7 linked regions of the Coturnix japonica genome follow. Each later gene encodes a partner of the first gene's protein in a complex. Links are inferred from orthologs where the notes say so. Each region holds a gene or a part of one and is shown in the gene's direction. Other genes may lie near its edges.

What was found.
Region 2: CWC22 (region 1) and SNRPD3 share a complex: the UniProt entries of both Homo sapiens proteins name them as parts of the minor spliceosome. The link is inferred for Coturnix japonica from reciprocal best matches to the Homo sapiens genes CWC22 and SNRPD3.
Region 3: CWC22 (region 1) and SNRPE share a complex: the UniProt entries of both Homo sapiens proteins name them as parts of the minor spliceosome. The link is inferred for Coturnix japonica from reciprocal best matches to the Homo sapiens genes CWC22 and SNRPE.
Region 4: CWC22 (region 1) and SNRPF share a complex: the UniProt entries of both Homo sapiens proteins name them as parts of the minor spliceosome. The link is inferred for Coturnix japonica from reciprocal best matches to the Homo sapiens genes CWC22 and SNRPF.
Region 5: CWC22 (region 1) and RNF113A share a complex: the UniProt entries of both Homo sapiens proteins name them as parts of the minor spliceosome. The link is inferred for Coturnix japonica from reciprocal best matches to the Homo sapiens genes CWC22 and RNF113A.
Region 6: CWC22 (region 1) and CRIPT share a complex: the UniProt entries of both Homo sapiens proteins name them as parts of the minor spliceosome. The link is inferred for Coturnix japonica from reciprocal best matches to the Homo sapiens genes CWC22 and CRIPT.
Region 7: CWC22 (region 1) and RBM48 share a complex: the UniProt entries of both Homo sapiens proteins name them as parts of the minor spliceosome. The link is inferred for Coturnix japonica from reciprocal best matches to the Homo sapiens genes CWC22 and RBM48.

The regions. Positions count from the first base shown.
Region 1 is NC_029522.1:13,097,076-13,100,603, forward strand, and holds part of CWC22 (pre-mRNA-splicing factor CWC22 homolog), read left to right. Parts: coding exon 1-81; intron 82-173; coding exon 174-380; intron 381-490; coding exon 491-553; intron 554-933; coding exon 934-1,029; intron 1,030-1,511; coding exon 1,512-1,593; intron 1,594-1,934; coding exon 1,935-1,995; intron 1,996-3,528. UniProt on the Homo sapiens protein: Required for pre-mRNA splicing as component of the spliceosome. As a component of the minor spliceosome, involved in the splicing of U12-type introns in pre-mRNAs. Promotes exon-junction complex (EJC) assembly.
Region 2 is NC_029530.1:7,447,957-7,452,081, reverse strand, and holds the start of SNRPD3 (small nuclear ribonucleoprotein Sm D3), read left to right. Parts: upstream 1-1,300; 5' UTR 1,301-1,417; intron 1,418-1,695; 5' UTR 1,696-1,719; coding exon 1,720-1,845; intron 1,846-2,530; coding exon 2,531-2,720; intron 2,721-3,623; coding exon 3,624-3,685; 3' UTR 3,686-4,125. Other genes in the region: protein GUCD1, read right to left, coding at 1,085-1,295. UniProt on the Homo sapiens protein: Plays a role in pre-mRNA splicing as a core component of the spliceosomal U1, U2, U4 and U5 small nuclear ribonucleoproteins (snRNPs), the building blocks of the spliceosome.
Region 3 is NC_029541.1:2,015,836-2,020,112, forward strand, and holds SNRPE (small nuclear ribonucleoprotein E), read left to right. Parts: upstream 1-1,470; 5' UTR 1,471-1,576; coding exon 1,577-1,630; intron 1,631-2,162; coding exon 2,163-2,189; intron 2,190-2,571; coding exon 2,572-2,634; intron 2,635-2,727; coding exon 2,728-2,806; intron 2,807-3,482; coding exon 3,483-3,538; 3' UTR 3,539-3,760; downstream 3,761-4,277. Other genes in the region: MTCH1 (mitochondrial carrier homolog 1), read right to left, coding at 1,173-1,370. UniProt on the Homo sapiens protein: Plays a role in pre-mRNA splicing as a core component of the spliceosomal U1, U2, U4 and U5 small nuclear ribonucleoproteins (snRNPs), the building blocks of the spliceosome.
Region 4 is NC_029516.1:41,570,170-41,573,057, forward strand, and holds SNRPF (small nuclear ribonucleoprotein F), read left to right. Parts: upstream 1-1,227; 5' UTR 1,228-1,381; coding exon 1,382-1,384; intron 1,385-1,468; coding exon 1,469-1,594; intron 1,595-1,695; coding exon 1,696-1,760; intron 1,761-2,234; coding exon 2,235-2,301; 3' UTR 2,302-2,360; downstream 2,361-2,888. UniProt on the Homo sapiens protein: Plays a role in pre-mRNA splicing as a core component of the spliceosomal U1, U2, U4 and U5 small nuclear ribonucleoproteins (snRNPs), the building blocks of the spliceosome.
Region 5 is NC_029542.1:2,229,030-2,233,252, forward strand, and holds the start of RNF113A (E3 ubiquitin-protein ligase RNF113A), read left to right. Parts: upstream 1-1,409; 5' UTR 1,410-1,473; coding exon 1,474-1,573; intron 1,574-1,789; coding exon 1,790-1,866; intron 1,867-1,962; coding exon 1,963-2,067; intron 2,068-2,947; coding exon 2,948-3,055; intron 3,056-3,331; coding exon 3,332-3,441; intron 3,442-3,655; coding exon 3,656-3,762; intron 3,763-4,171; coding exon 4,172-4,223. UniProt on the Homo sapiens protein: Required for pre-mRNA splicing as component of the spliceosome. As a component of the minor spliceosome, involved in the splicing of U12-type introns in pre-mRNAs. E3 ubiquitin-protein ligase that catalyzes the transfer of ubiquitin onto target proteins.
Region 6 is NC_029518.1:23,890,164-23,894,205, forward strand, and holds the start of CRIPT (cysteine-rich PDZ-binding protein), read left to right. Parts: upstream 1-1,231; 5' UTR 1,232-1,264; coding exon 1,265-1,334; intron 1,335-1,428; coding exon 1,429-1,494; intron 1,495-2,159; coding exon 2,160-2,214; intron 2,215-2,951; coding exon 2,952-3,055; intron 3,056-4,042. Other genes in the region: PIGF (phosphatidylinositol-glycan biosynthesis class F protein), read right to left, coding at 805-1,032. UniProt on the Homo sapiens protein: As a component of the minor spliceosome, involved in the splicing of U12-type introns in pre-mRNAs. Involved in the cytoskeletal anchoring of DLG4 in excitatory synapses.
Region 7 is NC_029517.1:20,668,876-20,673,031, forward strand, and holds the start of RBM48 (RNA-binding protein 48), read left to right. Parts: upstream 1-1,355; 5' UTR 1,356-1,557; coding exon 1,558-1,683; coding exon of another isoform or gene 1,684-1,773; exon of another isoform or gene 1,774-1,795; intron 1,796-1,853; exon of another isoform or gene 1,854-1,882; coding exon of another isoform or gene 1,883-1,996; intron 1,997-2,639; coding exon 2,640-2,830; intron 2,831-2,956; coding exon 2,957-3,102; intron 3,103-3,771; coding exon 3,772-4,156. Other genes in the region: PEX1 (peroxisome biogenesis factor 1), read right to left, coding at 1-590, 680-794, 1,035-1,118, 1,212-1,355, 1,645-1,773. UniProt on the Homo sapiens protein: As a component of the minor spliceosome, involved in the splicing of U12-type introns in pre-mRNAs.

The DNA.
Region 1 (3,528 bases):
ATGACAGTATTGAAGTAGCAATTGGGTTCCTTAAGGAGAGTGGGCTCAAGTTAACAGAAGTTTCTCCTAGAGGTATTAATGGTATGTATGAGCCAACACGTTAGCCTTTTCTTGTTTGTGATTAACTTAATGTTAAGTCCTTTTACATATTAAATATTCCACTTTTTCCAAAGCAATCTTTGACCGTCTTCGTCACATTCTCCATGAATCTAAAATTGACATGCGTGTTCAGTACATGATAGAAGTTATGTTTGCCGTACGGAAGGATGGCTTCAAGGATCATCCAATCATTCCAGAGGGTTTAGATCTAGTGGAAGAGGAAGATCAGTTTACTCACATGTTACCTTTAGAAGATGAATACAACCCAGAGGATGTTCTCAGTAAGTTAGAAATATTTTACATGATTGTGTTTTTCACAAAAACAAACTGAAGATTTGGTGTGCAGTCTTATTTTCATTTTGTATTTTAAGGATTCTTTTTTATTTTAAAGATGTTTTCAAGATGGATCCCAACTTTATGGAAAATGAGGAGAAATACAAAGCGCTCAAGAAAGGTAGGTGTGTGTACTTGTGTTTTATACGTTATATATAGTCTACTACACATTATATATGCATGGTATGTGTAAAATATGTGTTCATGTACTTTGTGTTTTTTGTATGCTGTTCAGTTATCCAACTATCGTTACCAGTTTAACTGTTTAACAGCGGGTGGCATGTGTGTCCCAGATAACTGCCTTTGAGTTTGTCGTACTCCTTTCCAACATATTCCTGTCCCTTTCCTCAGTATTGTCCCTACAGCTGTGTTTTAAGTTGGTTGTGATGTACCTTTTCCAGCAGAGATATCCTTTTGCTCTTAGATGTTAGATCAATTGTTTTTTCGGTAATGAAACTACTATGTTCTGTGCACCTTTAATGTGGCATGCTGCTCTTTCAGAAATTCTTGATGAAGGTGACAGTGAGTCTGAAGCAGATCAAGAGGCTGGAAGTAGTGACGAAGATGAAGAGGAAGATGAAGAGGAGGATGAGGATGGTAAGTGTACGACTGGCAAATTTTGTTTGTTTTGGAGTTTTGTTTGTCTTTTGGTTGTTGGGATTTCTTTGTGCATGGGGTTTTTTTTGTAGGTTAAACTGTGAAGAAAACCTTGACTTCTGTTTCAAGTTTTATATAACTAAGAACACTGCAGTGTTAAGGGAGGCTTTAATCTGCAGTTAGTCAGAAATATAAATGTTTAATAGTAGCACATAATAAAAGGAGGCTTTCTGTAACTCTATTGTATCTCTAAATATTTACCTGTTAGTCACAGATAAAGTGAACACTGTTTTTGAATTTTTTACTTTGATAGAAATAAATATACAAACACATTACTGCCCAAGTCTTAAATATTTCCACAAAAGGTATTTTTACACAAATGTGGTACAGACATAATAAAAACAAATATTTTCTACAAGATATGTAGATGTATAAAATACATTGTAATGCTTTGTTATTTCCAAACTGTGTTTCTTTCACAGGCCAGAAAGTTACTGTCCATGACAAGACAGAAATTAACCTGGTTTCCTTCCGTCGTACAATTTATCTTGCTATTCAGTCAAGGTAAATATTGTATAATTCATACACAGCTGTATTTCTTTTGGTGTGACTGAATTTCTCTTATTTTTTAAATCCTGCTTTAGCATATCATTAAAAAAAAATACTGAACTTGATTTAAAGGCTAGAAAGTTGACTATGATTTTGACAGTGGGTTCTTAAATCATCATTCCAAGCAAAAATTGTTGTTCTACAATACTTTTCAAGTTAGATTGCTAAGACTGTGAATACTGCTCCAATCAAACCTTTTGACTGAACGAAAGTCAGTGGATTTCAGGTGTTTTAGTATAGCTGTATATTGCACGGATAAGAAGAAAACTTGTTTGCTTTTTTTCAACTTATTTCAGCTTAGACTTTGAAGAATGTGCTCACAAACTGCTGAAGATGGATTTTCCTGAAAGTCAAACAGTAAGTTTATTTTTCTTTGTTGCTATTAAATGAAATAGCTGCGTAGAGTTTAGAATACTTACTTGTCCTGGGACCTAATTTGTGTAGCAAGTAGATGAATGACAGCATCTCCTTACAACTGTTTTTACTTAAGATGTCTTTAAACCTTTAGAGCATGTAGGACGACATATTTCTTAACACATTTCTCTTGTGTAATTGCTCCTTGCTGACAAGCAGTTTAAAATGTTTGTTTAAAGCCTGGAAAGATATATTGGTTGGACTGTTGGAATGGTTATCCGGTAACAAAAATAATGTAACTTGGAAGACATTTTCAGAACTCTGACTCTGAAAGAGAATCGAGGTATTTTCAGGCAGGTATTGAAATACAAGATGGTATTAAAAGAATGAATCACGTCGTTACTTCCAGTTTTTGATAGTTGCTTTTGTTTATTTTCCCTAGTAATACTGTGTATTGTTTTAAAGCAATTTTTGTATGGATGCCAGTTAGTCTTGGAGATCAGCAGGCAGGTGTGTTCTCAAGTAAGGAAAATTGTTCTTTAGCCAGTAAACAATTCACATGAAAGTAATTTCAGAGTTCAGGTGACTGCTATATTTTTGTCTTATTTGATTCATTTCATGCACAAAATTAAAGGTTCAACACTAAATGCATGCATTGGGTTCTGGTTTCCAGTGAAGCTATAACCTGAAGAATTCTGAGTAGTGGGAAAAAAATGCTGTGTTGCAGAAAAACAATTCAGTTATAACGCATAGATAACAGTCAGGAATGCACAAACTATGTTATACTGTGCAGATATAACTTGAGCACCATTGCTTTAGTAATTGGTCTGCTCACTGGTTCTCAGCTTCTGGTGTTTAATCCCAGCTCTCAGCTGTCGTCTGTTCTGTGGTCAAGAACTGCAAGGAAAAAACATATATTTAAAAGAAAAACCCACTTTAGTCAGAATCTGAAGTGCGGAAAGCAGTAGACTTTTCCACCACTTCATTCTGGAAAACTAGGTCTTTTGTAAGATTTGACTTAGAATTGGGTGTTAGGTTATTTTCTTTTTCTTTTTGTGGGTTGCCTTACTTAAAAATGAAAATAAGCAAATAAACACAGATGAATGTAATGTCTAACTTCTCATACACTTTATGTGGTGCTTTTACCAAGTGTTAATCTTTTTTTATTACATAGTCCTGTGAAGTATTTTATAGAAATAGAGAAAATTGTGAGCTTTGAGGAATTTCTACTCTCAGTCACAATTTTAGAAATGGAAGAACGTTGTTGTACACAAAAGAAATGGGTAAATGTGTGTTTTTCTTCTGCGCTGCAAAAGCAGAAGTTGTTAGTCATTCTTAGTTTTGCAGGAGAGCTCTCAAAGGAACTTCCAGATCGAGTTTTGAGACTTAAGAAATGATGGATAAATTAAATTTTCTGACAGTCTGTATATGGAACTACTAGTAATCAATCAGGATACGGTGTTGACTAGAATATGGCAGCTTTTCACCAGCAAGACTGTAATCTCTGGAATGAATTTGATGTATTTTTAAAGAAAA
Region 2 (4,125 bases), on another chromosome or scaffold:
TGTAAAAGCTGTCAGTCGTTATATGGGAATGTTTTTCTGTACTTCACCATTCCAATTCAGCTTGTTCTCAGCTCTGTATTCTGTGCCAACAAAAAGTCATAGGTCAAATGGGTAAAAAACAGACACAACCAGGATCTCTAGGCAGTGATTTCTTACAAGCCCTATGGATTTCAGCCTCTTCTACTGCCATGTCTTTTTGTGAGTAATTTTTTAAGGTAAGACAGCTCACAAATGACACCATCTGTAAAAGGGCCAAAGAAGAGAGACAAAACCCAATCTATATCAAGAAAATCTGCAATATCAGTAATTCATCCTTTGTTATTTCTTTACAGGCAGTAGTAGTGGTTTCAGTTTCAGCAAAGCCCAGATTGCTTGATGGACTGAAGTGCTTCCGCTTGGCATTGTAACTTCAAAGACAATCCAAGTGAGTTAATCATAAAAGGCTTTTCTTAATGACTTTACCTTCGATCTGGTACAGACCCTTGGAAACCTTTGCTAACACAGAGTCAGCTCTGCTTTCAGATGGGGATAAAAAGCATTCAGCATCCTGGGGGCTGCTGCAGTTTCAACACAGCTTTATATGTAAAACTTTATGGACAATGTCTTGCAGTTTTAAACTGTTTTCTCACTGAGTTACGGCTTATTGCAGCAACAACGCGGTGCACTTTCTCAATCACGTCACTGGGTTTAATCATAACTTTGAAAGCTGGCACACACCCATTGGTGTACTCAGTGTTTGTTAGCAATGTTGATTATACTTTAGAAGGACAAACAGCCCCTCAAATCCCGCTTGAAGGAAGTAATGTAAGCATTGGCGGTGTGTTATGAGCTGTGTTATGAGCAGGTCCATTCTCTGTTACCATCCAGGGCCTTCTAACACCACAACTCACTGTGGATGTCCCTGTTCTCCATACACTATGACTTCAAAGGTAACAACCAGGCCCAGCGCTGCCCGCTTCTCATCCCCACCCCCAACAGAGCTGTCACGGCCCGACCCGCGGCTGTAAACAAGGCGGAGCACTCTCAGCTCCACCAAGTGCTTGACAGGCCGCCCCCGATCCGAGGCCCCGGAGCTGTCACTGACCTGCCTGCGGAGGGGGCTCCCCCGGCTCCCGGGGGCTCCTCATGACGGCGGCCGCCCGCTCACTACCCGCCCCGCCGGACTTAGGGCCGCGCCATGCCCTGCTGCGGCGACGGCTCCTCCCGGCTGCGGAGGGGGCGGACCCCGAAGCGGCTGCTCGGAGCTGGGAGGGAGGGAGCTGCCTTCGGGAGGAACAAAAGTGCAGCGGAACCATCGTGATAAGGCAGCGAGACCCTGAGGGACAGGAGCAGTAGCAGGATCCGCTCCTGTGCCCTTCCGATTCCGGGGCTCTGTGCACGGCGGGAAGGCGGCGGCCATTAGGGTGGTTGGTGGGAGGTGAGTGTCGGTGGGGGTTTGTTATAGGGTCGGTTTGTTATGGGGTGGGTCTGTTGTGGGGGTTTGTTATGTGCCTGCAGCTTCGTAGGGCGGCAGATGTGGGCTGAGAGGGTGGGCTGCCCTCAGCCTTGGGCCGGGCCTTGGGATAGGCGTGTATTGCCAAAGCACTGAGGCCTTTGTTCAATGGAGCAAATCGGCTCCTGTAGGCAAAGCCGAACTGCAGAACGACTGGGAGTTTGTTTCCTTTATTCACTTCTATGTTGTGCTCTCTGTCCCAGGAGTAGAGCCGCAGTGTTGCAGCCATGTCCATCGGGGTGCCCATTAAAGTCCTGCACGAGGCAGAGGGCCACATTGTGACCTGCGAGACCAACACTGGGGAGGTGTATCGTGGGAAGCTCATTGAGGCTGAGGACAACATGAATTGCCAGGTAAAAGAAGTTTATCTCATCTGTTTGGAAGTGGTTGCACTCAGCAGACTGACAGCGGGATTTAAAGACCTTTTACTTTTAGTCTTAGGATAAATAAAGCCCTTTTACTCTGTGCACTTACAGTAATGAAGTGAATTCCAGATTACTGAGCACACCAAATTGCTCAGAATTGGGATTTCCTGTTCCTGGTTCCTCTGTGAGCACCTTCTCTTCAGCAGTTCTTTGTTTATTGCCTGTTGATAATAAATAAACTCTAATTTATGAGCTTAGAGCTGTGCTTAATGCAGAGGACTTTAAGGCATTGCAATAGCCTTAATTTTGATAACTTCATGCAAGTTGTAGTTGAAATAAAAATGTCCTTAATAGCTGGGACCAGTAAAACTTTATTTAAACTATCTGAATAAGAAAACAAAACTAATAAAACTAATTAAGCAAGTGGGGAGGAGGGGAAAATAGTGAGTTTGCTTAAATTTTAGCAAGCTTTAAGACTGTGTTTAAATGGTTATAGATGCCTTATATAACAATAACAGTTGAAGGCTGTATGCTTGATAGGGCTTTGAGTTTATTACTTGAATCTTGGCTATATATATATTCCATGAGCAGGAGTAGTGGGAGTACAAAACTATGTTTAAGGCCACTTAAAACAAACTGTGTTTGAGACCACTGTCTGATCTTTACTTTCCAGATGTCCAACATAACAGTGACATACAGGGATGGGCGAGTGGCGCAGCTTGAGCAGGTGTACAGAGGCAGCAAGATACGGTTTCTCATTTTACCAGATATGCTGAAGAACGCTCCTATGCTAAAGAGCATGAAGAATAAGAACCAGGGCTCTGGAGCTGGCCGAGGAAAAGCAGCTATTCTCAAAGCTCAGGGTGGGTACAGTGTGTTTGTGGTCTGGTGTTCCCTCTTTACCTTCCTGTTTTGCTGTACAGAAACTGAGATGTTTTCATCCCTAACACTAAGCAAAGATGAGCTGTAAGAAGCTGAATGAGTGACAGCAGTCAAAACTCAGACTGATGCACAATACTGATACTGCAGATAGTTCAGGAACAGTAAGTGGCCTTGCTAGAGTTAGGTAAAACTTCACCTTTGGTTTTCTGTAAATGTGGTTGCTGCCTGTTTGGATTACCCAAAGTATGATGATCTAAGTATTCTTAAGCTTAAAAAATATATATTTATATATATATTTATATATATATATATATATATTTATACATACATATATATATACACACACACACACATATACGTACACTTGGTTGATACTTTAAGTTTTTTAAATGAGTAACTGTTAGCCATTCTGCAGTTCATCCTCTTTAATACCTTTTTTGTGTGAACAGTCTCGTTATAACAAGATCAAGAAATAATCATGGGCTCTGAAGCCCTTGGTTAACTCTACCAAATGCAGTAAGGATGTGTGGGGGAGTAACATCTGACAAAATATAGCGAGTTCTGTCACGCTGTATGAAGAGCAGGAGGTCTTAAATCTCTCTGGCTACAGATTCACACAATTTAAAGTAGGAACAATGGTGTGTTACTATTTCATTGCTCTTAATGCATACTCTGTTATGAATAGCAAAGCTGTGTAGTTGTTAGTTACAGTTGTTTTCACAGAAAACTTCTATTTACTTTTATCACTTCCCAGGCCTCATACTGTAGCTTAACTTCTGTGCTTCTAAGGAAGAGACTGAGAGTTATTGATGTTTGGTTTGTCACTTGTTGAGATAAATGTGTTGCATCAAATTCATGTCATCCCTGATGTTTTCTTTCTTCAGTGGCTGCAAGAGGAAGAGGCCGTGGTATGGGTCGTGGCAACATCTTCCAGAAGCGAAGATAATTTTGGTCTTGACCAAAATGCTTTTTTTTTATTATTATTATTAAAGGGGCTCTTAACTTGTCTACATATATGTTGGTAACTTCTGTTTAATAAATGTTTCTGACAAAACCCTGTCTGCTGTTATATGACAGAGCTCCTCTTAGGCACAATAGAGTTCTGGCTTCTTTCTGTAGCTGGCAAATACGTTGGAGGTGGATTTCAAAGTGCGTTGTCTAGAAAACAGTGGACATGGATTTGATTTCTTTGTACTTTTGTGTGATGCATTGAGTTTCAAAGATCATCTTGCTTCCTTTTTGTTCAATACTGCTGTAATTTACCCTCTAAAGAGTTAGAAGTTATTCTTCATGAAGAATTTTTAATGTTGTTTTAAGGTTGTGTTATCACCTGCATTTACAGAGCAAACAGTCAAACTGAGGTAGCTCCTAGAGAAGCTTCGTATG
Region 3 (4,277 bases), on another chromosome or scaffold:
CCATGATATGGACAGTCCCTATGACAGATGGGTGTCCCATGATATAGGCAGTCCCTTTCCTGTTACTCCTCTTGGGGTACAGGAGGCCCCCATCCCCCTCATTTTATAGGGTTCCCTATTACAGAGGGGTTCTGAGGATGAAGAGGGATGAAGACCCACATTCAATCCTTTGTTATATAGGAATCCCCATTGTGTGGGTATCTTCATCCATCCCATTTTATGGGGTCCCCTCACCTGTCACATAAACAAGCCTCCACTGCACACGTTGGTCTTTATCTTTGGTATATATGTTTATATATGAGTTCCCATTCCCTGTTATACAGCTGTCCCTGATGCAGCAATATCCCAATTCCCACAGTGCTCCCCATTCCATCCTCACAGCTACAGGTGGGATCCATACACACAGATAACGGTGACTGAGTGCCACCCCATCACACAGCACGACCCTCCTCACCCCATTACCCCCCTCAACACATTATAAGGAGGGAACCCCCATTGCCACATATGGGGGATTCCCTTTACACAGGGTCCCCATAGCCCCCTATGGGGTTCCCCATCATTACACAGGCCGTCACCCCCATATTAACCCCCTCAACACATTATAAGGAGCTCCCATTGCCACATATGGGGGGTTCCCTTTACACAGGGTCCCCATAGCCCCCTATGGGGCTCCCCATCATTACACAGGCCATCACTCCCCCATTACCCCCCTCAACACATTATAAGGAGCTCCCATTGCCACATATTGGGGGGTTCCCTTTACACAGGGTCCGCCATAGCTCCCTATGGGCGTTCCACCATCATTACACAGCCTCACCCCCCATATTAACCCCCTCAACACATTATAAGGAGCTCCCATTGCCACATATGGGGGGTTCCCTTTGCACAGGGTCCCCATAGTTCCCTATGGGGTTCCCCATCATTACACAGGCCGTCACCCCCCATTACCCCCCTCAACACATTATAAGGAGGGAACCCCCATTGCCACATATGGGGGGTTCCCTTTGCACAGGGTCCCCATAGTTCCCTATGGGGTTCCCCATCATTACACAGGCCGTCACCCCATAGAGACGCCCCACGACCCCCCCTCACACCTCGGCCTACACCTCAGGCCTCCCCCCTGCCCCCACACGGGGGTCTCATCCCCCCCACACCCCCTTTAGGCCCCGGACCTGGACGAGCAGCTTGACGTAGAGCAGGGGGTGGCTGACGGCGGCGAGCCCAGCGCCCAGAGCCACGAACAGCCCCTCGGTACCGTCGGTTCGGCCCGGTCCGACCCCAGGCCCAGACCCGCCGCCAGGGGGCGCCAGCGCCACCGAGGGCAGCGGAGCTTCGCCCGCCATGGCCCCGCCGCCGCCACCACTGCGCATGCGCCGCCTCTTTGCGTATTGGTGGGCGGGATCTTAATGCGAGACAGCACTGGTGGGATCTGCGAGCAGTAGAGACGCGGTCCTCCCGCTTTCCTAGAGCGGCAAGTCTTCCAGCGTCCCTTGCGCGTTCCCGCCTTGCTCAGCGGCTTCCGGTGTTCTCTGCGACTTCCGGCGGAGCTTGTGGTGGCGGCGGGCAGGGAGTAGCCATGGCGTATCGAGGGCAGGGCCAGAAGGTGCAGAAGGTGATGGTGCAGCCCATCGTATCCTTGTCCGGAGGGGCAGGGGACGGGCCTGCGGGGCCTATGGAGCCTATGGGGCCTATGGGGCCTATGGGGCCTATGGGGCCTGTGGGGCCTATGGGGCCTATGGGGCCTGTGGGGTCTATGGGGCCTATGGGGTGTGTGGCCCTATGGGGGAATCTATGGGGCCTATGGGGTCTGTGGGGCCTTTGAGGCCTATGGGGCCTGCGGGGTCTCTGGGGCCGAGTGGGACCTTTGGGACCTATGGAGCCTGTGGGGCCTGTGGGGCCTGTGGGGCCTGTGGAGCCTATGGGGTCTATGGGGCCTGTGGGGCCTATGGGGTCTCTGGGGCCTGCAGGGCCTATGGAGCCTATGGGGTTTCTGGGGCCTGTGGGGTCTCTGGGGCCGAGTGGGACCTATGTAGCCTGTGGGGTCTATGGGGCCTATGGAGCCTATGGCGTCTCTGGGGCCGATGGCGAGTGGAGGGTAGGAGCGGCCCTGCAGGGCCTTGTGTCTCTCTGGAGTTGTTCCCGTCCTTAACGCTGCTCTACAGAACCTCATCTTCCGCTACCTGCAGAACGTGAGTACTGGGGCCGGGGCAGGGCTGGGTTCGCCTTTGGGTTTGTAACTTCTTGGCTGCTTTTGGAGCCCATCGGCTTCAAACGAAGAACTGGTGCTGTTTGGGAGCATAAGAGCTGGCTCAGAGATGAGCGTTCTCCCTTTGCATTAACACCTTTGTATGTTGATTGTGCCCCTGTGTGTGTAACACACACTCAATAACCCACACCTACAAGGTTCTGTGTTGGGAGTTGCTCTTTGGGGTGTTTCAGAGCTGCAGTGGCTGTTGGTTGCAAAGATTTCTCACCACATTACTAGCAAGGCTTTCTTAAATGCACAGAAGCAAAGACCAGCATTGCTTGAAGCATTTCTTTTCCAGTTTATTCACCCTGATTGTTTTGCAGAGGTCCAGGATCCAGGTGTGGCTTTATGAGCAGGTGAACATGCGGATAGAAGGCTGCATCATTGTGAGTACCAACATGTCCATGTGTTACCATTGGCTTTCCCACGTTCATGAGTCTGTGTGCTACCAACTGAGTGTTTTTGCCACTGATTTTCAGGGCTTCGATGAATATATGAACCTGGTGCTGGATGATGCAGAGGAGATTCACTCCAAAACAAAATCAAGGAAGCAGCTGGGTATGTCAACGTGTTATAGCATGAAAGGTGGTTGGGTGAGCCTTGCTGGTAGCAACACTTAAAGGTGGAAAGCACATGCCAGGTGTTGGTTTGGGAGAGCATTGGGCAGGTGCTGGCTCAGTCTTTGTTCCTGATGTTTGTTAAAGGTGATGATTTTGCTGAATGTAAAGGAGAATCTCCCTGTGCCTGAGACCAGTTGTTATCTTTTAAATGCTGTCTTTGTACAACTGAGGTGTCTGGAGGAGTCTGGTCCAAACTCCTTTGGGCTGTTTCTAAACTTGGTAGCCCTGAGCAATTCTCGTACCTGCTGGGTCAACTCTTGGCCAAAGCAGGAGCCACCTGACTGGTGGTATTTACTATTTACCGCTGCTGGAGAAGATAAAGCTGTCTGTGATGAGGGGATGCGTTGATTCGGATTGAGTTTATAGCAGGGACAGTGTTCTGCTGGGGCTGAGATGGTGTCTGAGAGTTGGGAGTGGATTATGAGTATGGACCCTGCCCTGCTATGCTTTCCATATGGGGCTGCCAGCAGGGATAGGACTCATTGCAACCCTCCCCCTCTATAATAGGGGCATCTTCTTGCAAGCATCTCCTGTTGTGGGATAATATGTGAAAACATGAGGTATTCTTGGATTCTGGGATCTCTCTAATCCCCCATTTCCTTTCTGTGTTGCAGGTCGGATCATGTTAAAAGGAGACAATATCACTCTTCTACAAAGTGTTTCTAACTAGAAATCGCTGTTCTTAGGGCAGTGATTGCAGTTCAGAATGGTTTGGAGTGAATGAAGAAGGTGCAGTGGGAGATCTACCCCTGCTGGTAGATAGAAAGTTACATGTAACTGGCATTGCATGCTGAGCTCAAAGTCCCCTCCTTTTGTAGGAGTGATTTTTTTTGTAGTCTGAAACAATAAGGGATGTATTTCCCAAATAAACATTTTTCACGTTGTCTGTAAACGGAAATCTGCATGGTTTTATTCTCAGCTTTCTATGCTTGGAGAAGGCAGAGAAATGTACATCAAGTGATTTGCTGTTGGTCCGATAAGTTCCTGATAGCTCTGTGCTTTTTGGGTAGTTACAACATGAGACAGGACAGGCTCTGGTGTCACTGTCAGGCTTGAGCATGCATGGCTCTAATTAAGTTTGTTAGAGGTTCTACGTGCAATTACCACCCTTTGTTGTCAAAACAGCTGGTTCCTTGGGTGCTTTCTGGTGGATCAGTGGGTTGGTGATGGATTTGAGGCTGTGATACAGTGATCCGACATCACAAACTATATTAATAGCTGTACTTTGGTAAAATATCATCATTAGATAGGGCAGCTGGTTGGGATTAAATCTATAATTTCTTCTTTGGGCAGCATCTCTGCATTAAATCCTAGTGCTGGGATGTCAGATGTGGCTGGATTTTATCACTATTATCCATGTAAGGATCTGTCCTATTTAAGTTTCCATAAGTGAGCTGAGTTTCTTAGTC
Region 4 (2,888 bases), on another chromosome or scaffold:
TCTTCTCCAAGCTAAACAAGCCCAATTCCCCCAACCTTTCTTCATAGGAGAGGTGCTCCACCCCTATGATCATCTTAGTGACCCTCTTATGGACCCATTCCAAGAGTTCCACAGCTTTCTTGTGATGACGGCTCCAGGTCTGGGCACAGTACTGCAGATGGGGCATCACAAGAGCTGAGCAGAGGGGGACGATCACCTCCCTCTCCCTGATGGCCACCCCTTTTTAATGCAGCCCAGCACACCATTGGCCTTCCAGGCTGCAAGCACACACTGCTGGTTCACATCCAGCTTCTCATCCACCAGGACCCCCAAGTCCTTCTCCAAGTCATGCATCAGAGGAACTGACTATATGAAGAAAAGAATGTAGCTGGTCCTGTACTTCTTGGTACACAGCTTTCCCAACACAAGTAGGAGACATGATAAAAGTTGGTTCCAAACCTAAAAAGTGCTGTTTACAGACAAAACACTCATATTGTTCTATTGTCATTCACATATACACCATTAACAACTGTCAGAAAAGTGCAAGTCTTCCATGGCCTTTAACCCAAAGGACTCATGCTGAGCTCATTGCATTCTGACGCCTTGTATGTTTTCACTCCAAGTTCTCTATTCTTTGCTGCAAGGGGCATGAAAACCGTCCATATACACGATTTCCCACATTGTTTATTATTTCCTACATATCCTCAGCACTAACTTCCTTGCAATAAACTTATAAGCAATTCTCTTTCAACTGGCGCCCAGTGAGTTTTACTGTCAGAAAGAAAAAAAAAAGCTTTATTTTAACGTTATCTCTGTTCCCCAGCCAACACATGAGGACAAACACATCCATTATAAATTATCACAGAAACAAATACGAGTGCACTTCAGATAAACATTTATTAAGAAGAATCGTAATTGCTGCTCTTATCCTATCCATCCATAAAGGTAGGGATGTGAGGGGGGACATTCTGGATCTGCAGAAGACACGGTGTGAGGCAGCCGGGGGCTGAGGGAGAGGTGGACAGGGAAGGGGAGGAGAGGGATGGAGGGGCAAAGGCCTAACAGAGCAGAGCGGCGGCACAGTGCTGCGCTGCCACCCCCCGGCCACCACAGACGACACAACCAGAGGTGGTATACGACCATTGGCTGGAGCAATGAGGAGGGCGGCCATTCCAACTAATAAGATTGAGCCCACAACCCCTTTTCCCTTCGCGCTCCGTGGCTCCGTAGCCAATCGCGAAGGCGGCGCGGCGGGGTGAGAGGTTGGAGGTCGGCGCGGCGGCACGGAAGTGGAAGTGGAAGGTATCTCAGCGCTGCCTTCCATTCTGCCTCAGCCCGCGGCGCGCACGAGGCGATCCCGCCTGGCTCTGCGCTTCTCGGGCCGCCATCGCGCCCCATCGCCATGGTGAGGGCAGGGCAGGGCAGGGTGGGGGGAGGCTGTCGTTAGCGGTTGGGATGGCGGGCGGTGCTGACCATTGCTCTCCCCTAGAGCCTGCCGCTCAACCCGAAGCCCTTCCTCAACGGGCTGACGGGGAAACCGGTGATGGTGAAGCTGAAGTGGGGGATGGAGTACAAGGGATACCTCGTCTCCGTCGACGGCTACATGAACATGCAGGTGAGGGATGGAGGGAGGGACCCGGGCCTTGCTTGCTTGTGGGAGGGAAGCAGTAGTGAGGCTCCTGTTGGTGTAATGTTTGTGCTGATTTTCGTTCCAAGCTTGCAAACACAGAAGAGTACATCGATGGAGCACTGTCTGGACACCTGGGAGAAGTTTTGATAAGGTAATCGTGGTGCCTGAGCTGGGGAACGGGGTCTTGTGGGGACTTCTGTGTCTTGTGTTACTGCTTTGTTGAAGCTGGTGGATCTAGGGGATGTGCTTGTGTTTTAAGTTGAAAGAGGGAAGATTTAGGTTGGATGTTAGGGGAAAGTTCTTTACTAGAAGAGTGGTTAGGTCCTGGAACAGGCTGCCCAGTGAGGTTGTGGATGCCCCGTCCTTGGAGGTGTTCAAGACCAGGTTGGACGGGGCCCTGGGCAACCTGATCTAGTAAATGTGTATGTTTGGTGGCCCTGCCAGACAGGGGGGTTGGAACTACATGATCCTTGAGGTCCCTTCCAACCTGGGTAATTCTGTGATTCTGTGTGATTCTGTGTATTGGAGCACTAAATGCTGCTGTAACTCCCATGTGAAGTGAACATTGTATTTGCGAGGGAAATTAAGACATTTCAACTAAGGGAGCTCTTGATTCTATTTACAGGTGCAATAATGTTTTGTACATCAGAGGTGTGGAAGAAGAGGAAGAAGATGGAGAAATGAGAGAATGATGATTTGTATATCTGGAAATAAAGGGTTTTTTTTCTTTTTTTTTTTTTCTTTTCCACAACGTTGTCATCAGGTGTTTATTTTGTTCTTGTATTTGACTATGGGGGGAGTTCACCCAGAGGCTATAAAGAGTCATGAATTTCAGTGGCATTCATAGAGCTAAAACAGCCTGTGGAATGGGAATGCCTGATCTCAATCTGCAGTATTATGGAAAGAACACACAAAACACTAACAACAGGCCACTCTTTGTTATCAGGCATCCAGATAACTGAAGTTTTGGCAGGAACATAATTGCTTTCTCAAATGTTAAGAGCAACCATTGACATTAACCGAAGCTGTTCTGTACCTATCAGCATTTCCTAAAGGTAACCATTGCTTTGCTGATGCTGCTAGTCAGAGCCTCCCCTTGTGAAGGATCTACTTGCATCTCTAGGCTGGAGAGAGGTTCTACAAGCCAAAACACAAATGGCTGTACCTCATGGATTTGTGTGTGACTTTGCGCTGTCTCATCAGTGACCATTTGTCTTACATCTATTCTCAAATACACAGGTATACTTTCAGTGCTACAGATGGATTAAATACAGCAAAA
Region 5 (4,223 bases), on another chromosome or scaffold:
ATCTGTCCAACCCCACCACACCCCCAAGCACGGGATGCAGCACACAACAAAGAGGGAGCTCAGCACAGCTGGGGAACCCCAAAATGTTCCTACCCACCCCCCTCTAAACACCGCACGCCCAGACCCTATTCACTCCCCTCCCCGCTCAGCACCGGGTGCGGACCCCTCTCCATTTCCCAACAGAATCCCAACCCCAAAAGGCATCCAGAGCTCAGACAGCATCCCCCGAGTGCTCCCCCACCCTAAAGTCCCTCGACCGAGCCGCCTCCCGGAGCAGAAGTTCCCCCCTGGAGGATCACACAGACATTTTGGGGGGGGGGGTCCCCCACCTGCTGCGCAGCCCCATATGGCAGCACCGCTATCGGGGCTCCCCACCTGCAGCCCCCATTTCTCCCCATCATCTCCGAGCCCTCCCACCCCGCTTTGTTCCCCTCCCCCATTGTTCCCGACAAACCCAAACCCACCATACCCCCGGGTCCGCCGCCGAGCAGCACAAGGGCTGAGCCCTCCCCGTGCTGTCCGTTGCTCTGTCCGTCCGTATCTCCGTCGTTCGCTCCGTCCCTTCCTCGCTCCGTGCGCGCTCCCCCCGCAGCCCCTTTTATCGCGCGGCCGTGGCGGCGATTGGTTCCTTGCGCGGTGCGGATCCGAGCGCCGCTCCTTTGTGTGCGGCCGCCTCTCCCTCACCCGGCGGCCCCCGCTGCCCCCACCCCAAAACCGCATCGCCGGCCCCATCCCACCGACCCCCCTCCCCAACCCCCCCATACCCCCCCCATACCCCCNCCCCCCATACCCCCCCCATACCCCCACCCCGCATTCTGCCGCCCACCGTGGGTGCGATGCTGCGCTCGGGGTCGCGAAGCAGCGCTCGGGGTGCGGGTACCACCCAGCGAGCGGAACCGCGATGGTGGATGGGGTTCTGTAGGGGTTCTGCTGGGGTTTTGTTGGGGTTCTATTAGGGTACTGTTGAGGTTCTGCTGGGGTTCTATTGGGGTTCTGCTGGGGTTCTGTTGGGGTTCTGTAGGGATTCTGTTGGGATTCTGCTGGGGTTCTATTGGGTTCTGTAGGGGTTCTATTGGGTTCTGTTGGGTTCTATTGGGTTCTGTTGGGGTTCTGCTGGGGTTCTATAGGGTTCTGTTGGGGTTCTATTAGGGTTCTGTTGGGGTTCTGTTGGGGTTCTATAGGGGTTCTGTTGAGGTTCAGCTGGGGTTCTGCTGGGGTTCTGCTGGTGTTCTGTTGAGGTTCTGTTGAGGTTCTGCTGGGGTTCTGCTGGGGTTCTATTCGGGTTCTATTCGGGTTCTTTTGGGGTTCTATTCGGGTTCTATTGGTGTTCTGTTGGGGTTGCTATGGCGACTCGCAATTCACCCTCCACGCCTGCAGGTGGCGCTATGCGGCCCGAGTCCTCCCGTCCAGCAGGGGGCGCTGTGCGGCTCTGCGCCCATCTAGTGCCGCTCTGTCTTGAGGCGGCGGCTCAAGATGGCGGAGGGAGGCTCAGTGTGCGGCTTCGTGTTCAAGAAGCGGGGCCTGGCGGCGGGGAGGGGGCGGCGGAAGCGGCCCAGCAGCGACCAGGAGCAGGGTGAGGGGCTGACGGGGGTGGTATATCCCGATGCGGCCTGTTGTGGTGCACGAGGGAGGCGGAGGAAGGCCGTGGGTCGTACAGCCCCTCAGTGGGGCCCGGTTATTGAGCTGTGTGATTGAGGGGCGCTGCCTCCATCCCCGGAGCCCCGCGGTCAGGCCCATTAAACCCCATTAAACCCCATTAAACCCCATTAAACCCCATTAAACCCCGCAGGGAGCAGCGGCGATGAGGGCAGCACCGTGGTGAGGAAGGAGCGACGGAGGGACGCCCCCAACCCCATGATCCAGAAGGTGAGGTGCACACAGGGCGCTGTGCTGTTGTTGTGTGGGGCACATCCAGCCTTCACACCCGCTGTCTGTCTGTCTGTCTGTCTGTCCGCCCTTCAGACCAGGAGGTGCACAAAGGAGCGGCCCTCATACGCCCTGAGCAGCAGCGATGATGATGATCCGTCGAAGGAGATCGGAGTCACGTACAAATCAACAAGGTCGGCGGTAAGGACTGAGCGCAGATGAGCTTCTGGGGTGGGGTTAATCCCATACTCATATCCCATACTCTGCTTCTGTAAATGTGCCATCAGCTCTTCTCAGTTTTGATCTGTAGCTGTGTTTCCCTGTCCCTCCCCTCCTAACACACAAGCTGGGTTTATTCTCCTGATATTCTGCATTGTTCAACAAGGAGCTCAGAGCAGCTCTGCTGGGAGGAAAGGTTGAGGGAACTGGGCTTGTTTAGCTTGGAGAAGAGAAGGCTCCGGGGAGACCTCATTGTGGCCCTAATACTTGAAGGGCAGGGCAGCACGTTCTTAGGAGGAGGTGGAGCCTTTGGGGTTCCAGAAGCTTTTGGTGTGTAAGATGGGTTTGTTTTTAATTTGAGGCTGGTTGTAATTATTTGGTTTCTGTGCAAATGAAGAGCTGACAGAACCTCAGAGCATTTGTCTGTTCACTGTATTCACAAGGAACCAAGACTAGATCACTGAATTAAAACAGAGCACAGGCTGCCCACAGCTGGGTTAAAAGTTCAGATATAACATCCTGCCTGTGGGCTGGGTGGTCTCATGGCTGAAGCACTGAACATGAGAGACCTGAGATCAGTTTCCAGCTAAGACAAGATGAAGCTTGAAGGAGTAAAGTGGGGATTTCTGTGTCCTGACTCTGCAAACTAAAACCTGGGAGCAGTCAGTAATTAACATCCTGTCTTGCACAAGTACTAGGCTGGATGCTAAGAGAAGATGCTAATAGAAGTTAGAAACTGCTGGAGGGTGAAGCAGGCCATGCCCAGCACTTGTTCAGTGACTGGCCCTCCAGGTAGCCGAGGGGTTTCTGTCTCATGCAGCCTTTCTTTTTACTGTTATCACATATTGTTCTTGCTTTTCAGAAACCTGTTGGCCCAGAAGACATGGGGGCCACAGCAGTGTATGAACTGGACACAGAGAAGGATAAAGATGCCCAGGCCATCTTCGAACGCAGCCAGAAAATACAAGAGGTTGGTCAGCCTCACTTCTAAGAGTTCATGCTATGCAGGAGTGTGTGTGCTTACTCATCTCCTTTTGCATGCCAAGACCTTGAGTCTTTTCTTGCCTGCATATTTGAGAGGTTGGAAGTGTTGTCTATGTAAATGGGGGGACTTGCTGGTGTTATTGACTACTTGGTATTAAGGAAGGTATGGCCAGGAGGGGAGGTTGGTATGGGAGAGATAAAAGCTCGCTTGTGACATGAAGATCTTCTGACCCCTAATTGCCTTTTTTTTTTTCTCTTCTAGGAACTGAGAGGAAAAGAAGATGATAAAATTTACCGTGGTATTAACAATTACCAGAAATATGTGAAGCCCAAAGACACGTCAATGGGAAATGCCTCTTCAGGAATGGTCAGGTAGGTTGGGACGAGCCTGGGATGGGGGGGGTGGATCATAGAACCACAGAGAATTTCAGACATTGTCCCCAGGGGCACTTTTCTGGGCTGAAATGATGCTGTTTTTGGAGCTTGTTCCTATCTAATGAGTTTGGTGTCTGGTTCTGGCCGGGCCCGCAGGGGTTTTCTCCATTGCAGTGACACAGCTGGACTGAGCCTTCTCCCACCCTTTCAGAAAAGGACCCATCCGTGCTCCAGAGCACTTGAGGGCCACGGTGCGGTGGGATTACCAGCCAGACATCTGTAAGGACTACAAGGAAACAGGGTTCTGCGGCTTTGGAGGTGAGTGGGTCTTGCCTGCAGGGATCCAATCCAGATGGTGAGCCCAAGTTTTGTGGCATGAAATTGCACAGTTAGTAATTCATGGGCACCTGTTTGCAGAGTTAGTATTTCCTCACCTGAGGTTATGTAGGTGGTGGGATCTCCTTTTCCTTTTCCTATGTGGGTGAATGCTGGAGCTCTTGCTGTGGCATCCAGAACGTGATGCTTGTGGCCTGTTGATCCTGAGAGGGCAGGATGAGGCCCTCTCTTGGCCTCATCTCTCTTGGCCCTGCCCTGTAGCATGGGTGGGTACAGAAGTAATTGGGTTTCACCTTGTACTGAGCAAATCTCAGGCTGCCCCTGGATGAGGTGTCCTTTGAACAGCTGGGCAATGGGGGTAGATTGTTCATCCCTCTTTTGTGCTTTCCAGACAGCTGCAAATTCCTCCACGACCGCTCAGACTACAAACACGGCTGGCAGAT
Region 6 (4,042 bases), on another chromosome or scaffold:
GTCTGACACAGCTGGTGGGGTTGCACGACTAAGCTGACTTCAAATTGTATTCTACCACTCCTGACCCAGCTATGTTTTACTCCTCTAACCTGTTAAATTAGGATCCACACCCTCAATGGTCCTATTACAAACTGTAACTACAAAGAAATCTCCCAGATTTAATTTCTGCAGATTTAGTCATTCAATGAAATGCAATTGTTCTGACACTTTTCAACTTCACTTTTTATAGTTTACCAACTTTCAGTGAGTCACAATGGCTTCAGTTGGTGGGGGCCTCAAAGCCCACCCATTTCCAACCCCCTGCCATGAGCAGGGCTGGCCACCACCAGCTCAGGCTGCCCAGACCCCCATCCAACCTGGCCTTAACACCTCTGGGGATGGGGCACCACAGCTTCTCTGGGCAGCTGTGCCACTGCCTCATCAAGTTTTAGTAGTAATGAGCTGTTCCCAATTTTACATCTCAGTTCCTACACAAAGAACAAAGCAATACTCTGCAATAACGAAGGTCAGGCCTAGACTGCAAAGTGAATTTCGTGCCCACTCTGGTGTGCCCCAATTCCTACCAGCATGCAGTCAGTGATAGACTTGTGACTACAAATCACAACCCCATGGGCAAGAAGTGTCAGGGATGCTCAGCCCAGAGGGCTGCTGGCAGGTGCAGACAGAGTTAAGCTCTGCAACTCATGGAAAACAAGAATTCACCACCAGAAGTTGTAACTTCTTTCTCATCACATCATTTCAGTGACAGGCTTAGCATCCTCTCCACATCACTCGATAGGAATCTAAGAAAGAAACAAATCTTACCTTGTTAGACAGCGAGCTTCTCTTAGAAGACGGACTTGGCTTTAGGATTAAACACAAGGTTACGTTAAGGACGCTAACACAGACAGAACAAACACACAGCCACGTGAGGTGAGTGCCCAAAACCGAGAACCCATCCAGGAACAAGGCCGGTACGAGTGCGGTCAGGACGATGGAGACGAAGCAGAGCAGGTTGGCAGCCAGCAGCCTCCTCAGCTCTGCCTCCTTCATGGCGCCGTGCCGCCGGCCACCTGCAACACAGCGAGCGGCACTCGGTCAGCGGGACTCAGCCGCACCAGCGGGGCAATGAGGGCGTTCTGGGGGAGAAAAGGGCTTTTTAGTGGTAGATTAACGACCCTCACGCTCGCACAACGTCCTAGGTCAGGCTCGCCCCGCGGGGCGGCCTAACAACGTGCGGGGCCCACCTGGCCCGTACCCGGGACGCCGGCCGCCCGGCAACGGGATGGCGTCAGCTCCGGGGCGGGTCCGGAAGCGGCGGTTGTTGTGCTGGGCGGCCATGGTGTGCGAGAAGTGTGAGTAGGGTGGGATTGGGGGGATCCCGGCACTAAGCGGGGTCTGAGGGCAGCGCAATTCTAATCGTTTATTTCGTGGTGTTTCTTTCCGTAGGTGAGAGGAAGCTGGGCACCGTGATCACTCCTGATACGTGGAAGGATGGGGCGAGAAACACCACAGGTAGTGTCGGTCGCTGGGTGTTCCCTGCGGGTCGTCCGGAGGGTTCGGGGGGCAGCCCCAAAGCCTGCTGGAGTTACCGGGTTGGCCCTTCACTGCTGTAGTTTCCATTGAGTGCAGTGAAGGGTTGTTTACCTCGAGCTTTTTGGCGTTGAATTTGTCCATCTCATTGCAGCCTTCCGTATTTAAAATGGGATCATTACCGGGGGGGGGGGGGGGGGGGAGAATCAACTTTTTACTTGAATAGGTAATGATAGAATGAGAGGTAATGGTTTTAAGCTCAAAGAGGGAAGGTTTAGATGGATGTTAGGGGAAGCTCTTCACACAGAGTGGTGAGGTGCTGGGGAGACTGCCCAGAGAGGCTGTGGAGGTGGTGAAGACCAGGTTGGATGGAGCCCCAGGAAACTTGGTTTAGTACCAGATCTGGAGGTTGGTGGCCCTGCCTGTGGCAGGGTGCTGGAACTTAACCATCCCTGGGGGGTCCCTTCCAACCCAACACTTTCTATGTTTACATTATGATCTTTCCCCTCATGTGGAAGGATGATATGCAGGGCCTGCCCATGCTATGTGCTTCATGCTTCACTTTGCTCTGATCACACATGCCCACATGTGGCAGTTGGAAGCTGGACTGTGAAATGCATTGCCTTGTGGTTGTATTTTTTTTATAGAAAGCGGTGGCCGTAAGCTGAATGAAAACAAGGCGTTGACCTCAAAGAAAGCAAGGTTAGTATTTAATCCTCATTTCAGCTTAAAAAATAATTCAATTTTCTGTAACTGAGACCTTGCATTCTCACAAAGCAGGGTAATTCCTCAAAACTTGTCCAAAATACAACTTAATTTATTCATTTCTTTTAACATGTTAATCCTTGGTGGCAGTGTGTATTTATGTATTTCATTGGGGCTTTCTGTGGAATTACAGAGCATGGGCAGCTGTATTGCTGTGGGCATCCCTAAAATTGGTAGGAATTGCTGTTTGTGTTAAGAGAGGGGCTGAAAAGGCTGTTTGTCTCTGTTTGTTGCAGGAGAGTTGGACTAGATGACATTTAAAGGTCCCTTCCAACTCACATGATTCTGTGATCTTCCATGCTAACATTACCTGTTCAAACGCTTGAGCATCTCCTTAATGTCTAAAGGATATTCTGTTATGCCAGGGGCAAGCCATTGTTGAAATGTATTTTGACTTTGAAATAGGCTTGTATCTTAAGAACAATGTGTGGTTTTAGTTCATCATTTATTAATTTAATTTCTATAACACAAGAAACCTCTCTTAATGGAGAAAATGGGAGGTTTTTTGTAGAAATTCTGTAGTCTATTAGAGTTGACCTCTTTATGTCCCTGTTTTTGATTGCAGTTTTTGCTGGAGTTTTTGTCTATTTCCTCTCGCATAGCATTTTTAGTATGAGATGAAGGAATTACTTTATTTCACTGTGCATAAACAAAGTACTTCTCCATTTTTCCAGGTTTGATCCTTATGGAAAGAACAAATTTGCAATATGTCGAATTTGTAAGAGTTCTGTCCATCAGCCAGGGTCTCACTATTGCCAAGGATGTGCCTATAAAAAAGGTGAGTTTCACTGAGAACTTTATTACCCCGCTTTGATTTGGAATTAGAGACCAAGTAGAAGTCTTTGATTTTGTTCTGTGAGGAAAAGAGAAGGCTGTGATGAGATTCAGTTACTGTCTTCAGCTAATAATAGGAAGGTATAGAAGGTGCACTGAGCCCCCATCACAGTGCACAGTGATGGAGAAGAGTGCAGAATTCTTTAATTCCATGTGAATAAAATAATTTTCACCATGAGGGTGGTCAAACATTGTAATAACAGGGACTCAGAACCCTTATGAAATCTCTACTGGAGAATATAAAATTTTATCAGTCTTGTGAATTTCAGGGGGCAAGCAAAATGGCTCAAACTTGTAATCCATGGGGGGAAAATAGTGCAACATGAACTCGGTTACCTTCTTACTATTGAAGAATTCACTCAGCACGCAGACATGGGCTGGATGAATTGTTAGATGTAGAGTCACAGCTAACTGGTAGTGATTTTTGTTTATGGAATAATGTTAATTGTTCTACAACTTCACACTGTGTCACTGAGTACATGGTTTGGAAGTCTGCTAACGGAGGGCTGCCTCTGGGTCATTAGTCTTCTCTGTTTCAACTCTCAGCTATTCTTGGTGTCCATTATATTTCTCTCTCGCACACTGTAATTAACTTAATTCTGTGAAACTGTATTCTTCTCAGCTTTCTCAGTTGCCGGTTAATCTTTCATTTAGCAATCAGTTTCTTGGCGCCTGTATTTCCTTAACCTTGCTACTTTCTGTCCATCTCAGGCTACAGGAATTCTAAAGTTTAGTTATATGCTATTTTTACCCGTTTGCCAGTTGGGATCCTTTTCCTGGCTGGCCTCCAGTAGTTCAGCAAATTCGAGGCTTCAGGTGCTGCTGTGAATCATAATGCTCTTAAAATAGAGTTTATTTTTTAAGTGGAAGTGTTACATGTATATTGCAATTATTAATTTGTGTTAAAAATCATATTACTACTAATGAATGT
Region 7 (4,156 bases), on another chromosome or scaffold:
ATTTTGCTTTGCTTCTTGATGACGCTGTCTGGGGGAAAGCAGCCCGTTAATTTTCCCATAAGTTACTACAGCATTTGGATCCAAATCAGTATATTCTAAATTCTGTGGAAAAACATGAATGGCACCGTGTTTCAGAAATGCATGAACAGCTGATGCGTTCTGTACGCTGGGAGGCTGGGACTGGCATACTCTAAAAATGGAATCCATGTGAATTAAGTTCAGCAGCTTGTCTTTGAAGGCGCTCATTTCATCCTTATCACACAGAGTCTTTTGTTTCTGTTCAGCTGTACGAGAGAAAATGCTCCCTATGAAATTCCACATATTTGGGAGAACACTTGAGCCAAACGTCACATTTGCATCAGCCTTACTCTGTTCAGGGACTCCTGGGTTTAAGTGAGGTTGACTGGCAAAAGGCTCCTTTACAGTTACGTCTTGCTCCATGCTATTCTTCACAAAGCTCTTGAGTAAGATGTCACCTTCTGTAGAAGGCATGTCTACGACGTTTTCCTCAAGCTCACGCGCTTTGGGGCAGATCAGAAGCTCCGTGCAAGGTTCTAATCTCCCATAGGGGGCTGCTGGCATAAGTGTACCTGAGTATGGATAAATCAGATGAATGAATGCATCCACTCTTGCAAAACAGCTTACTCAAGGCACCAGCAAAGCATTCACTGCTGCTTACCAATTCTGATGTAAACGTGAGTGTGGTGTTCAACCCAAACAGGAAAGATGGCTTTGGGGAATACGATTCGGATCTGGTCCAGAAGATGCTTTTCAAGAGAGGAAGCGTGCAGTTCCTGGGAAAGTGTGGTATCATTGTAAGCTACACACTTGTACAACCTTTAAAATGTGTTTGAACATAGAAGATTCACATCTTTTTCTAATACACCATTTGAAACATAAAATACAATGAAAACCCACAAGACTTAGCATTTGCTTAGGAGCAGAAAAGAACGGGGGATTGCGACAAAAGCTTGTATCAACATTCTCTGTCATTTGCATGAAAATGATGTGAACAGTGGGACAGGTTTTCTTACCAGTATTTCCCAATCATCTGCTGAGAGCGGTTCCACTTCTACTTGCTGACAGGAGGAGACGTGTGAACAGGGCTCCACGAACACCTGATAGAAGCAACATTATTTCTGAATAATTTAACTCCTTAAACACATAAAACCTCTACTCAGAAACTCAAAAAAGGGACCTGCATTTCAAACCTGTTCTCCATCTGCAATGCCAAGCTTCTCTGCTAAATGCCTGTTCATCTCTGCGATATTTTCACCCCGCTGACCTCGATGCCTCATTTCCATCCAGCTCAGGTAGATGGGCTCATCACGGCAGGATACTTTGACAGCTTGGCCCTGTGATTATCAGGCAGATGAAACGAATTACTATCAAATCATACTCAGAAATACTCAGACCCATCTGGGTCCAGGGGCGAGGGGTCCCGGCCCGTTCGGAGGATGCACAGTCACCACAGCGACAGTGCGGGGGGCGGCTGGTTGCCCTGCGCTGTCGCTGTGGTGACTGTGCGTCCTCTCGAGGAGGGCTCTGAGCACCGCCATGATGACGGGATACGATGGGGGGAGGAAGGAGAACCTCTCTCCCACAATCCCCTCCGAACGGGCCGCCCCCATCTCGTCCCCGTACCTGCTGCAGGCGGAGGTGCGAGGCCAGCACGGCGGGCAGGTGAAGGAAGCAGTCCCGGGTCCCGCTCAGCACCACCGTCACCGCGGCGACTCCAGCGGCCCCTCCGCCGGGGTTACCGCTGCCCCACATGCCGCCAGCCGGGTGGGCCGGGCTGTAGTTGCTCGTTCCGCCCGGCTTCTCGGCAGCGCCCACTTCCTTCCCGGAAGAGCCGACCGGAGCCGCGGTGGCGGCCGGGAAGATGGCGGCGGGCGGTGCTGGCGGGCCGGGGGAGGCGTGTAGGCACCACCAGCAGCTGGGAGCATGCGGGTCCAGGGCCAAGTACCGCGAGGGGCGGCGACCCAGGGCCGTCAAGGTGCGGGGTGAGGGCGGGTGGGCTGCTGGAGACTTGTTTAGTCCGCAGGTGTCGGTGCTCTGACATCTGGAGAAGCATCAGCTCCAGCTGATGTTCTGTGATGTGTTCATCCCTGCTTGAGTTCATCCCTGCCCGCGGTGGCTCCACACAGCGGGCAGCACGAACGCTTTGAGTTGTTGTTTTCGCAGTGAGGTAAACGTGGGCATTTTAGAGCATTGAACAGCATCTCCCCTATGAGGAGAGACTTAGGGAAGTGGGTCTGTTTAGCCTTGAGAAAAGAAGGCTGAGAGGGGACTTGATCCAGGTTTATAAATACCTGAGGTGGGGAAGCCATAGTGGTGAGGCTGGTCTCTTTTCAGTAGTGCGTGGGGACAGGACTAGGGGTAATGGGATGAAACTACAGCATAGGAAGTTCTGCATTAATGTGTGGAAGAACTTCTTTACAGTGAGGGTGACGGAGCACTGGAACAGGCTGCCCAGGGAGGTGGTGGAGTCTCCTTCTCTGGAGATATTGAAGACCCGCCTGGACGCCTACCTGTGTGACATGGTGTAGGGAGCCTGCTTTGGCAGGGGGTTGGACTGATGATCTCTAGAGGTCCCTTCCAACCCCTACAATTCTGTGATTGTCCTGTGCTTCTTTCAGGTGTACACCATCAACTTGGAATCGCGTTATTTACTAATCCAGGGAGTTCCTGCGCTGGGCGTCATGAAGGAGTTAGTGGAGCAGTTTGCCTTGTACGGAGCCATAGAAGAGTACCATGCACTTGATGAATATCCCGCAGAGCAGTTCACTGAAGTTTATCTGATAAAATTCCAGAATCTGCAATGTGCCAGGTATTATACACAGCACTATCTGCCTTTTGTTGTTTTAATCCTTCACGGCCCCTTTATGTATGATCTACATCATACAGAGTTGAAGTAAAACCCTCAGCTCTGCTAATGCCATTTAGTTTCCTTCAGGGTGGCCAAGAAGAAGATGGATGAGCGCAGTTTCTTTGGGAGTTTGCTGCACGTGTGCTACGCTCCAGAATTTGAAACAGTCCAAGAAACCAGGGAGAAGCTGCAGGACAGAAGGAAGTATATTGCAAAAGCAACAAATCAAAGAGGTTTGTAGTTAAATCTCATGTCCAGTTTTAATTCCAGTGGTTGGTACGTCTTGGTAAAGCCAAAAGCATCCATTGATGAAAATATACTGTGTTTAGCTGTTTTACATTAGGACATTTCTCAGTTATTCCTAGAGATGGACCTTTCAGAAAGCAACGTTTTAGTTAACATGCACTTTAAAGCTTTTAAACCTCATTGTTTCCTTCATTTCTTTTCAAAACGTTACCTGAAATTTTAAGTACTGCCAGGAAACTGAGGATCAGTTTGTTCCCCTTGTTACAGTTCTTTCAGGCATACCCAAAAAGAGAGATTAGTAAGAGAGCCCCCTCCCTGCCCCTTATTTCCTGCCTGTCATTTGGGTCAGTAAGGAACACGAGGAATGGATTGGGCTGACAGGCAGCTTTGCTGCTGAGTTCCCAGGCAGCGCTGAAGGCTGGACAAGCTGTAAAATAAGTACAATGCCAGGCACAGGCTTCTCCTTTCCTATGCTTATGTACTTGGATATCATTATCCACTGCAGGTGCTGCTTAAGCAGAATCACAGGAAGGTGACTGGGAATGAAGTATTGCTGGTATTATTTCTGTCACTGTATTGAACACTTTATGTATTAGAACTAACAGTGGCATAAAATAATGAAGCTGTTTTCCTTTTCTTTTCTTGTTGTTTTAAAGACTGCTTTCTGTTGAAGAAAACAGAGAGGCCTCGGAGGACCAAGTCTGATTCTCAGTGGAGTACCCCAGGATCACATGCAGCCACTCACTGGGATCCATCCTGCTTTCCAGTTCCTCATGGGTTGTCCCAAAACATGGAATATCCTTCTGGCAATCACAGTCAGGACCTTTTGGCTTTTCCCCACTGCGACAACCCCAGTGCTGAAACCTCTGGGAACTCCAGTCAAAGCTCATCCCTAACTCAGAAGGCGCATCCAGGAGGATGTGCTGCACCAGTGCCTTTAATTCAGCAAAGAACAGTTCCAGCTGATAACGGCATTGACAGGTTTATGCCTCGTACAACTCACCTGCAGGAACGTAAGAGGAAGAGAGAAGAGGGTAACAA